Linked DNA regions of Drosophila melanogaster. Changing the gene in region 2 together with the main gene of any one other region gives a genetic interaction. Each region holds a gene or a part of one and is shown on either strand. Other genes may lie near its edges. The genes, in order: Clk and cyc.

Region 1 (5,299 bases), about 12 Mb from region 2:
CAGTGAACTTGAGCTTTTGCTTGGCAATGCTAATTGCATTGCGATTACAACATAGTGCCCGTGTGTGAGTGATAATACCCAATACTCATACGACCCGTTGTACAACTTTGCTTCCTCGCCTTCTATTTCTCTTTCCGCAAAACTTGTAATACTTTTCGTCGCGCTCTAGCGTTTGTTGTCTTAAACTTGACTTAATTAAATTGTTCACTATTATTTTATTTTTACCTCTAGTCATTCATTGATTTATTTCGTCGGCGTTCGTTCCCCCTTATTTTACCGAGACGGGATTTAATTACAATCTACCAATTCCGAGTTCATCGTTAATAGTGTTCAAGGGGTATACTTCTATGTGGTTTTCCAGCATGGAGTTGTTGTTCTATAAACAGAACCCTAAACGGATCTTGGATTTTCCTTTCCCTAAACGTTTAACAATCTAATAATAAATTGACGTATCTGAATCATTAGCAGTCTGCTTAAAATCATCAGTTCATCACATAAATCGATCTTTATAATGATTTAATATGTTTAGATTGAAATTGAATAATATTTTCGTTAAGGGGGAAATTTTAAATGAATTCTATTTAGTATCGATTAAATTCCGACTAATTAAAAACTAACTTGATTTCATTTAAGTGGACAAAAACTCACTATACCATTACAAAATTCATTAGGTTAAACTTATTCAGTCCAAAGTTTTGCTCTCTTTAGGTTATTCCTTTTGATATAAATGAAGGGTGTCTAACTTTTAGTCATTAGAAATTTAAGTGCATTTTTCTATAAGTTCTTTTAATTAAAAAACGACCCAGAGGCTTTCCTTAAGTTTTCGTTCTTTGTTTCCAACTACCTCAATATTGTTAAAAAAAAAAAAAAATAGATCTGGAGTAGTTGTCAATCAGTTGCTTATCTCACCGTATCAACAACTAGCCATATTTGCTCTAAGTGAAAATGAAGTATACGCTCTGCAAGCCAGAGCGAAAATGGCCAGAAAGTGCAGCTGACTGCAGATTAAATTAAGTAGCGTTTCGTAATTGTGCCCCATTTATTCGACTAAATGCAAAAACAAGAATCGAAGTTGTATCACTTGTAATGTTTAAAACCTTTTTGCATGTGCCTATAGTTTTTTTAGTTGTCAATTGAAATAAGTTTTACTGAGAGCGTGTGCGACTACCGCATGATCGCACACCACTGCACAAATGCACACGCGTACTCACACCATTGCAGCAGAACACACGCACACAGATAGACTGGCGCACACAGATACTCGGGGCAGTCAAACGCTGACGATGACGTTTCAAAAACTCAAAAAGACGCCACATCCGAGACCTGAGACTTGTCAGCCAACAATAAAAAAAACAAAAAAAAAAAAATTTAAATAAAACAAATGGAAATAGTTGGATTGCAAAGCGACTAGCAAATTACCTAGCTAGTTTCAGCCACTGGAAATTCTTGTAATTAAGCAAAACTTACAAACAATATTATTTATCTTGAATTCACCGGAATGAAAATAGTGTACTGCGTAAAATATCCAATCAATCTTGCTGAATGAAACTAAAACCAATATCTAAAAATATTTTTTAATTTTTATATTTATTTTAATATTGGGTACGAAATCCAACTTTTAGAGTAAACAAACGACACAACTCCATTCAAAATTCGAATAAAGAGTACATTATTAAAATACCTTTCCAAATCTAAAGACATTTTAAAAAAATTATAGTTTTTATTATATGTATGTGGAAAAATCGCTCTCACAGGTAGTTTGTTTTCAATTTTTTTTTGGTTGAATGCACTTTTGTTTTAAGCGAGAAGTATCTTCACTCGTATTCGCTCGTATCTCATCCTTGGGTTTGCCTTATCTTTTTTGGCGCGGCATTTTTCTTCTGTTATTTTTGTCACTGCGGATGTTCTACCTAATGCACTTTTGCTTTTATTATTTTTATTTTTTTCCTCCACTTTTGCTTTGCACACTTCACAATTTTGCCGCAGCTGATTTGTAATTTAATCTTTTGAATCTGGCGCAAAACTTTGGTAATTAGCAGGTAAAGTAGTTAATTTACTTCGAAATTGAATCTTAGCTACATTAGTTTGGATGCACTTGTTCAATTAAATAAAACTTTACTACTTTAGTATTTAACTAAGATCAATTTTTAACTTGTGAAAACTTGTATTTGTGTTTTATTGCAACATCACTGACATATAACTACACTTTTTTATTTGGCTTTTTAAAAACGCCCATTATTATTTAAACTATTTATTTTTATCCATATATTGCCTTTGGCGGCTTATCCACTTTTGTTTTTTCCTCTGCCTTTCACTTTGTTTCTTCAAGAATTATTCCACATTTGTTCCTGTTTTTATGGCACGAGTGTTTTAAAAGTTACATAATAACTTTTCCCGTTCTGCTTTGCGCGTTTTTTTTTTTATACTTCTGCACTTGGTGACATATATACGCCAATATATAGAAAACGATATCCAATAACAAAAACACTTTAATTTCTTTTATGGTAAAAGGTAAAACAAAAAACTTTTTTGGCAATATCAGCAGAAACAAGGAAGAAAGCTGCAATTTAATTAAGCGCAAAGACGGAGACAAACAAAAATATTATTCCCCTTCAAATCCGAAACAGAACCGAAAAGGCGAAAAGTGTGTAATATGCGATCGAGTTACAGGCAGAGACAATATCAACGGCAGACGGCTTGACTTTGCTTCAGATCGGCCAAGTACTTGCGATATAAAACAATAACTGCGCGCTCAAAAAAAAAACCCGGAGAAAATGCGAATAAATCGAAAACCCGAATCGGAAAATTAAAGAGAGAGATCCGCTCGTTGACGCTGCGCTTGCTGGACTCAAACTGAATAAATGCACGAGAATTGCAAGTTCTAAGCTGGCGAAAATAAAAACTACAAACGCAAAAAGCCCGTGGATAAACGAAAAACCGCGAAATGCATCGAAATGTGAGCAGCGAGTCCCCAGAAGCGTTCTCACCGATACAAAGATACGAAACCGAATCGGTCGGGAGAGTCAGTCGGTCTACAAGTCTGTTGTAATGCCTTTTGCCGGCCGGGGCGTATACGCGATATGTGCAAGCATTCCCAGCTCTACCTGACTGACTGACTGATTGAGCACCGCCACTCGGCTATTATTTAATATGCTCTCCACACTCAGAATCCGCCATATCACTCAATTGCACCGATCGTGAACCTGAGTTGAGTCTTTATCTATCGCTCTATCAAACTATCAGCACGCTCAGAGCCACTCTGCTCAGAGGGTCTCTCTCGGATCGGATAGTATAGCTTTTCTATATAGTTTTCTTTCAACCTTTCTGTTTGTTGTCCAATATTCCGCGTGTTTCTGGCATTCCGTCTGGAGATTACAGATATAAGGGTCTCTCGGGGGTCTCGCAGGGGTGATTCAACGGGTTTTGTTTGTCCGCGACTTAAGTTCAAGGTCTGTGGCAGGGGTGAGTTTTTGACTATAGGTCGGCATAGACTGAAACTAGGTAGGTGGTGCAACATACCCTAACTATCTTTTGATCTATCTATACTGCTTCATGTCTATAAACTTACATTAACAGATCATATGTGCATTTCATGCAACGTGAGGCGAACTGAAATATAATTTGAAATAATAAGAGAAGTTAAACATAATTTAAAGTTAAAACTAAACAAACTGTTTTAATATTTAATCATTTAATTTAATGTAAACTTTTACTAATTAAATTGTCTTATAGTATGGAAAGTGATAAAAGAACTTCCAAACTGTCATTTCAGCTTTTGTTAATCCACACAAATAATTTCCAAAGCACTACGGCATTAGCTTTTTAATGCAAACTCATATTTCAATAAATATTTCATATATAAAGTAGTTTTAGTATGAATTCAATAGTGAACCACGACCCTTACCTTTGATTCCTTTGTCGTATTTTATCTTCAAAATCAATTCAATTGGAATTCAGCTCCGAATCTAGCACTACGACCTCACTTTCTGCAAAGGTAGCACAGAAAACTAATAATTCTGATTCTTATTCCATGATTGCCTAATCGCGAACCGCTTGCACCAGAAATTCGATATTTATTAGATGCTTACGTAACATTTCAGCACTCGATTTGCAATTTACAAGATTTTCTCGATTTGATTTGAAAGTTTTATAGGTTTATGCAACGCACAGGATGTATATATGTAGCTATTCAGCAATGCAGAGGTGTAGTCAGAACTACTTTGTTGTCAAACTGAAACTCAATAGTTTTTTTTATCAACCACTTTTATAAGTTAAAAGAAAAACCATAGTTATGTTCCACATTTATTTTATATTTTAATTGTTTTCCTCTTTATTTTACATCATTATTAAATTAAGAAGTACCAGTAAAAAAAATTTAGCACAAAAAACACAGAGAAAATATGTTGTTGATTTGATCTTAAGAATTTTAGAAATATTATAAATTTTTTTTTGTTTCATATAGAATTATGTAATAATTTCTTCATATAAAGTAGACACAAAAATAATGTCAAATTTTGGGATTGTATTGTATTTAGTGTCTAAACGTAAATACACGATGATTTAATTTAGACGTTCGTGTATATTTTGTATAAAATTACATAAATATTTTGTTGACAAAAAATGTTGATTTATTTATTTATTTTGTGTTGAGCTGAAAATTAAATTCGTGTTCTATAACTAGCGTAGAAAATGTACATATAATTTATGGATTATCCGTAAAAAGATATTTACAAAGACAAAGATGTGCCGACTGATAAAGCAAATTTTTGTTTTTAAAATTGATTTGCTTTATAGGGAGAGTTTGAACGATTAAAAAGAATAAACAAAATGAGTATGCGGCTTAGAAGTAGAAGAAATCAAAGACAAAGATGTTTTAGCTAATGTTACAAAGATATATCAAAGCTATCTCTTCAATAGGAATGCGGGCTGAAGATACAGATACGAATACAGAAATAAGCATTTAGCGTATAGCACTTTATATATAGGTTCATATAGGTGAGCATATCATTTAGTTAGCCTAAGCATAATCAAGAGAGAGTAGGGGTGTTATAGAGAGGGACATAGTTCAGAGGGTATACATAGTGAAAGGGTATTAGTCAACAGAAAGGTAATTTCAAATTCTTAACACATTAGTCCACCCATTAACTTTCTTCATAACTAGTTACTAGTTCAGTTTTCGTCTAATTACTCTTGTATATATAGTTTTTAGTTTCGTTTAGGTATATCAAAAAAATATTGCAGATTGTCTTAGAGTTCCAGCCGCTTTATACAAAGTAAATGAAGAGAAGTTTGACATTTT
Region 2 (4,758 bases):
TTTGTCCAATAAAACGTTCACTGGTTGGGAAGCCAAGGTGTCAGAGCGTCCGTATGCCACGCCAGCTCTATGCCAACTGATTCCGAACCCGAATCCAGCGAGCGAGAGAGCCAGAGGCATGCCCATACCCATACCCATGCCAGACCTATACCCAGACCCAGACAAACCCACGCGCCTGGGCTGCCGCCTTTTCATGTGGGTCTATTGATAGTGCAAGCAAAAAAGTTGAGTGAAACGAAAAACGGGCGAAAAAGCCCGTCTCAGTTGATAAATCAAACACACACATGTCCGTACATATGTACATATGTACACATGATCCACACCATTTACCACAAGTAGTTATGTGCCCGAAGAAATTCGAGCAGCGATCACGTCCAAAACGTGCTCGGCTAAGAACTATTTGTTGTTTGTAATCGAAGGCGACCGCTCTTCTCGACAATTCCAATCGCCAGAGAGCTATGTTGAAACCTTGATGGGGTAAAACTAGATTGTTCCCACGATAGCAAATGTTCTTATCTAAGCGAATCTCTTTTCAAGTTGTTAGTTAATTTAATTGAGGCGGTACAAAAATGATGGGCTTATCATTAGGTAAAGTTTGTATATCGAATATGGAATTTCAAACGCCGGCGCCAGCAACTCGATGCGGATGAAGATCTTTGGAGTGTATACAAATGTCGGATTGTAGTGGAATAAATAAAAGTAATGTTCCCCATCGGAACGTTCGTATGCCTTATAAGAACACGGAATTCTTGGCGATTATATAGTCAATCTCGCTCGTCCAGGGATTCTTGAAGGCCCGCCACTCGCTCTGCAGCTGAATGTAGCTGTTGTCCTTGCACCGGAAGCGGTAGACCTGAGTGGTCACCTTTTCCGGCACCTGCATCACCATCTTGTGAGACTCCATCAGCGCAGCGATGTCTTCGTTGTGGAAGTACTCGTAGAAGCTGGTGCCGAGGATCTCCTGAGGCAGGAAACCAATCACGAGGGTGGCACTGCCAAATAATTTAAGTCGAATCATCAGAAAATTAATGCCCATAATCGTACCTACCGCTGGTCTATGAACAGGAACTTGCCCTCGCCGGAGTGGCGCGAGATGAAGAGCACGTGCCGTATGTTCGGGTGATTGTCCAGCGAGGCGGGTACTGTGGAGTTGCGAACGTTGGGCGGAATGCGACCAATTGCCACAAGGCAGGATAGATTCGTTGTTTGCTCGTCGCTGTCGGCGTCCTGGTCCTCGTCCTTGATGGGTGTCCAGGACTTGAGGTAGCCCGTGCACTGGATAACCCGGTACTTGTGGCCCGTAGTCAGTCTGGACTTGCGCTTCGTGGAGCTCCGGGAGCTGGAGGACGTATCGGACTCCTCCTTGATCTGGTTGTTGCTGGCAGTGCGCAGCTTCATGCGGCAGAAGAAGGAGCGCCGGGCACCCGGACACAGGCGGCACAAGCTCTGTGGAACGTCGGTCTTAACGGGCAACATGGCTGCAGGTGATAACGCAAGGAGAAAACTTAAGTGACGTACTGAATCTCACACTTTCGCATGGCCACTTACTCTTCGCATCGATAAGCCTTTCCCTGGGACACTGTTCCAGTGAGGATAGCTGCTCCTTAACCTTGCCTATGTCCTTCGGATGCAGGACGTCGAACCAGCTCTGTCCCAGCAGGTCCGCTTGGGTGCTGTTCAGCACACTGGACACCGAATCGGAAACGTACAGGATGCGTCCTCGGTCACAACCCACCACGAACAGGAATCCCTCCGACGCTTGCAGGATAATCATCTTGAGCTCCTGGTCGGACAGGAAGCTAGGCCGGTAATCGGATCCGTTGAATGGATGTAAGCTGCCGCTGCCACGGATCCCTCGCAGATGCTGCACTGCCATCCGGAGCACAGTCAGTTTGTCCAGCTTTCGCTGCATCGCAAAGCACATGGGAATCATGGAGGAGAGCTCGTTGATGTACGTGTTCATCTTGTCCCGACGCCGCTTCTCGATCTCGCTGTGATTTTGCCTAATTAAAATAAATGATATAACGTTAAAATTATAAATGCATATGGATGCAGGAATCTGATTGAAAAGACCAATTAACTTTTCCGAAATAATCATTATTAGTCTTGAAGTCGAATAAATGGATATGGAATTAGTTAAGCCTGAATAATGTTTTCCGTACTTGCGATTTTCATCCGAGGTTCTAGCTGACTTCTCCTCGTCGTAGTTTTCATCTTCGATCTCCTCCATATTTTCGCTAAATCGAAAACAACAAATGGTGAATTAGAAAACAACCCCGATATTTAATCAACCAGTGTGGATTTCCCGTGTAACGGGCGTCAACTGTTGCTTCCTCTTCCCTTCACACCCACACGCACACCTGGCCAACTTGTATGAGCGTGTGTGTGCTCGTTTTCGCGATTGTGCGTTCGTGTGGGTGCTTAACGCACACACTTACAGCTCGTTTTTATGCAATGTGTATGTAATTTGCAATGCACTTTTCCAGTGAAACTCACCAGAACTCCTGAACTTCCATCGCCAATCGGTGACGTTTGCTTATGAAAAATTAAGCCCTTTCCGACGAAGACCTCCCTTTTGTTTGTTTACTAACATCGACTAGCATCAACGTCCCAATAATAACATTTAAAACGGAAGTTTGTGCAGGCCGACAATTTGTTGCAAGCTTTTCCTGCATCTTCAGCTTCGAAGCTGCAGTGTGAACGTGGCTGCAAAATATACCAGCAACTTTCGGAAGAATACCAAGGGAAACAAGCTTTTCGCTTAAAAATACCATTTGGCGCCAATTAACAACGGTATTTAAATATTTAAATATGAAACTCATATGAATCAATTTTCATTATTTTACTTTGGCTAGACAATCTGAGTAAAAATCAACACAAGTCGAAACAAACACAAACAAACAATTAAATACTATTTATATTTGATCCTTAGTTTAATCACATCTTAAATGTGATACATTTTATCCAAGCATATCGTTATGACCTGCATATAGCGATCCCAAAGACATCTGGTTTCTTGGTCCCTGCAAAACATTTAGAGTTGATTATCAAAAAAGTTACTTGATTAATCTAGACAAAAGTACCCACCTTGATATTTCCAGATCCAAAACGCTTTGCGTTATGGAAGCCAAAAATTTATTCACTTGCTCACGGTTCCAGCCATTCTGACGCCAAGGATCAATAAGCTTCTCACAGAGATCGACGAAAAGATCGCGCAGCTCCCGATTGCGATGCAAATTGCAGGCGATGGTGATCAGGGCGCGCCAGTAAGAACTGCAAATCAAAACAGATCAATAGTAAGAAAAGGTGATAATGTCGAGAAATAAGTCCTTACCGAAAGTTGCCATCCAGTTCGTGAAAGGCGCGCTCGAGAAGAACGGGTTTGAGGCGCATGCAGACGAGGCTAAATGCAAGGACTAAACTATATAATAGCTCGTGTGCGGTAGAAAAATAAATCTCACTGCTTAATCTCCTTTTCCTTGTCGAGTAGACAGCGCAACTCCCGCAGGTCCAAGAGAAACTCTTTGTCCATTTCGGTATCATAGTACTCCGGTCCAGTGTGCTGCATTTAGTAAATTAGTTTCGTAAGGAATTAGCAGAGCTAAGTCATACCTGGTAAGTATACGTCCAGTAGATCATGATGGCATGGGAGCAGGTCAACAAATCACTGAAGCTCAGGTATTGCAACTTTTTTTTGGTGGTTTCGAAACGCAGGCAGGCCAGGAAAACAATGCAGGCGTACTTTCTGTAAGAGTGAAAGGTTTAGCTTTTTGAAGTTCAATACATTGATTATATTCATACTTGGCTAGATCGGTGGATATGATGAAGTGTTGCTTGATGTTGTTGGTTAACGTGCCCGGCATTTCCTCGACTGCCTTAAAAATGCGTTTTACGTTGTCAAATTGTCGGCTGAAGAAGAAGTTGAAATATATTAGACTCTACTCTGCCTAAGTAGCGGCCAAATTTACCCACCGAACTGATTTTAGCTTGACGCACGTCTTCTCGGCCACCTCGTCGAGGTCCTTGCGGTAGCGGGACGACAGCTTCTTGCCAAGAATTTCGCGAGCCACCACATCATCGATGGAATAGTACTTCTCGGTGATAAGGTCACGCATTTGTGGCTCCAGCTGGAAGCAGGATTGCTCCATCAGTTTGGTGGGTGCGTTTAGGTATAGTTCAATCAGGGAATAGGTGCGGTAATGATCCAGTACATCCGATGCAATCAGGTCGCTGGGAGCGCCCATGGAGTGACCAAAACCCTTCTGTTTCAGATAGGACACCGCCTCGCTGGCTATAATTGTAAATCGATGGAGCCGTTTGACATGAAACAAGATTGCAATTGGGAGAAGAAAACTTACAGGAGAAGCCTTCGATCCATAGCTGGTAAATTTCTGGATCGATGATTGTATAATTACTTATAAACACATCCACATCGGCCTGTAAGCATTCAGTTTTACTATTTATTATTATTTTGGATCATCAGATAGTTACCATTATATTGCTAGAGTGACCGTTTTCTGAACTAGCTGTCCAATTGGATATATCGAAATGTATGTTAGAGATGAAACACTGTGTAGTTCCAACACAAGCAGCATAGTTTATTCTTCTCATGAATTTAAAACTTTTCCTTGAAAGTAATAAATCGTTCTTGTTTTCATAACATCAATATATCCTATTAATAAACAAGCGAAAATGTTTAGAGTAATAATGGTAAAACCAAATTCGGTGTGATTTTGAGTTTTAAGATCAAGTCATAAG

The links.
Region 1: of cyc (region 2) and Clk, changing one suppresses a phenotype caused by changing the other (phenotypic suppression), as found in Drosophila melanogaster (one study listed by BioGRID).

Annotation. Positions count from the first base shown.
Region 1 is NT_037436.4:7,772,509-7,777,807, forward strand, and holds the start of Clk (clock), read right to left. Parts: upstream 3,096-5,299; 5' UTR 2,988-3,095; intron 1-2,987. UniProt on the Drosophila melanogaster protein: Circadian regulator that acts as a transcription factor and generates a rhythmic output with a period of about 24 hours. Oscillates in antiphase to the cycling observed for period (PER) and timeless (TIM).
Region 2 is NT_037436.4:19,813,259-19,818,016, forward strand, and holds cyc (cycle), read right to left. Parts: upstream 2,681-4,758; 5' UTR 2,517-2,680; coding exon 2,497-2,516; intron 2,238-2,496; coding exon 2,163-2,237; intron 2,004-2,162; coding exon 1,549-2,003; intron 1,479-1,548; coding exon 1,049-1,478; intron 993-1,048; coding exon 731-992; 3' UTR 512-730; downstream 1-511. Other genes in the region: fibp, read right to left, coding at 2,945-3,023, 3,088-3,273, 3,335-3,403, 3,462-3,562, 3,613-3,745, 3,802-3,909, 3,973-4,291, 4,359-4,437 and 1 more. UniProt on the Drosophila melanogaster protein: Putative transcription factor involved in the generation of biological rhythms. Activates cycling transcription of Period (PER) and Timeless (TIM) by binding to the E-box (5'-CACGTG-3') present in their promoters.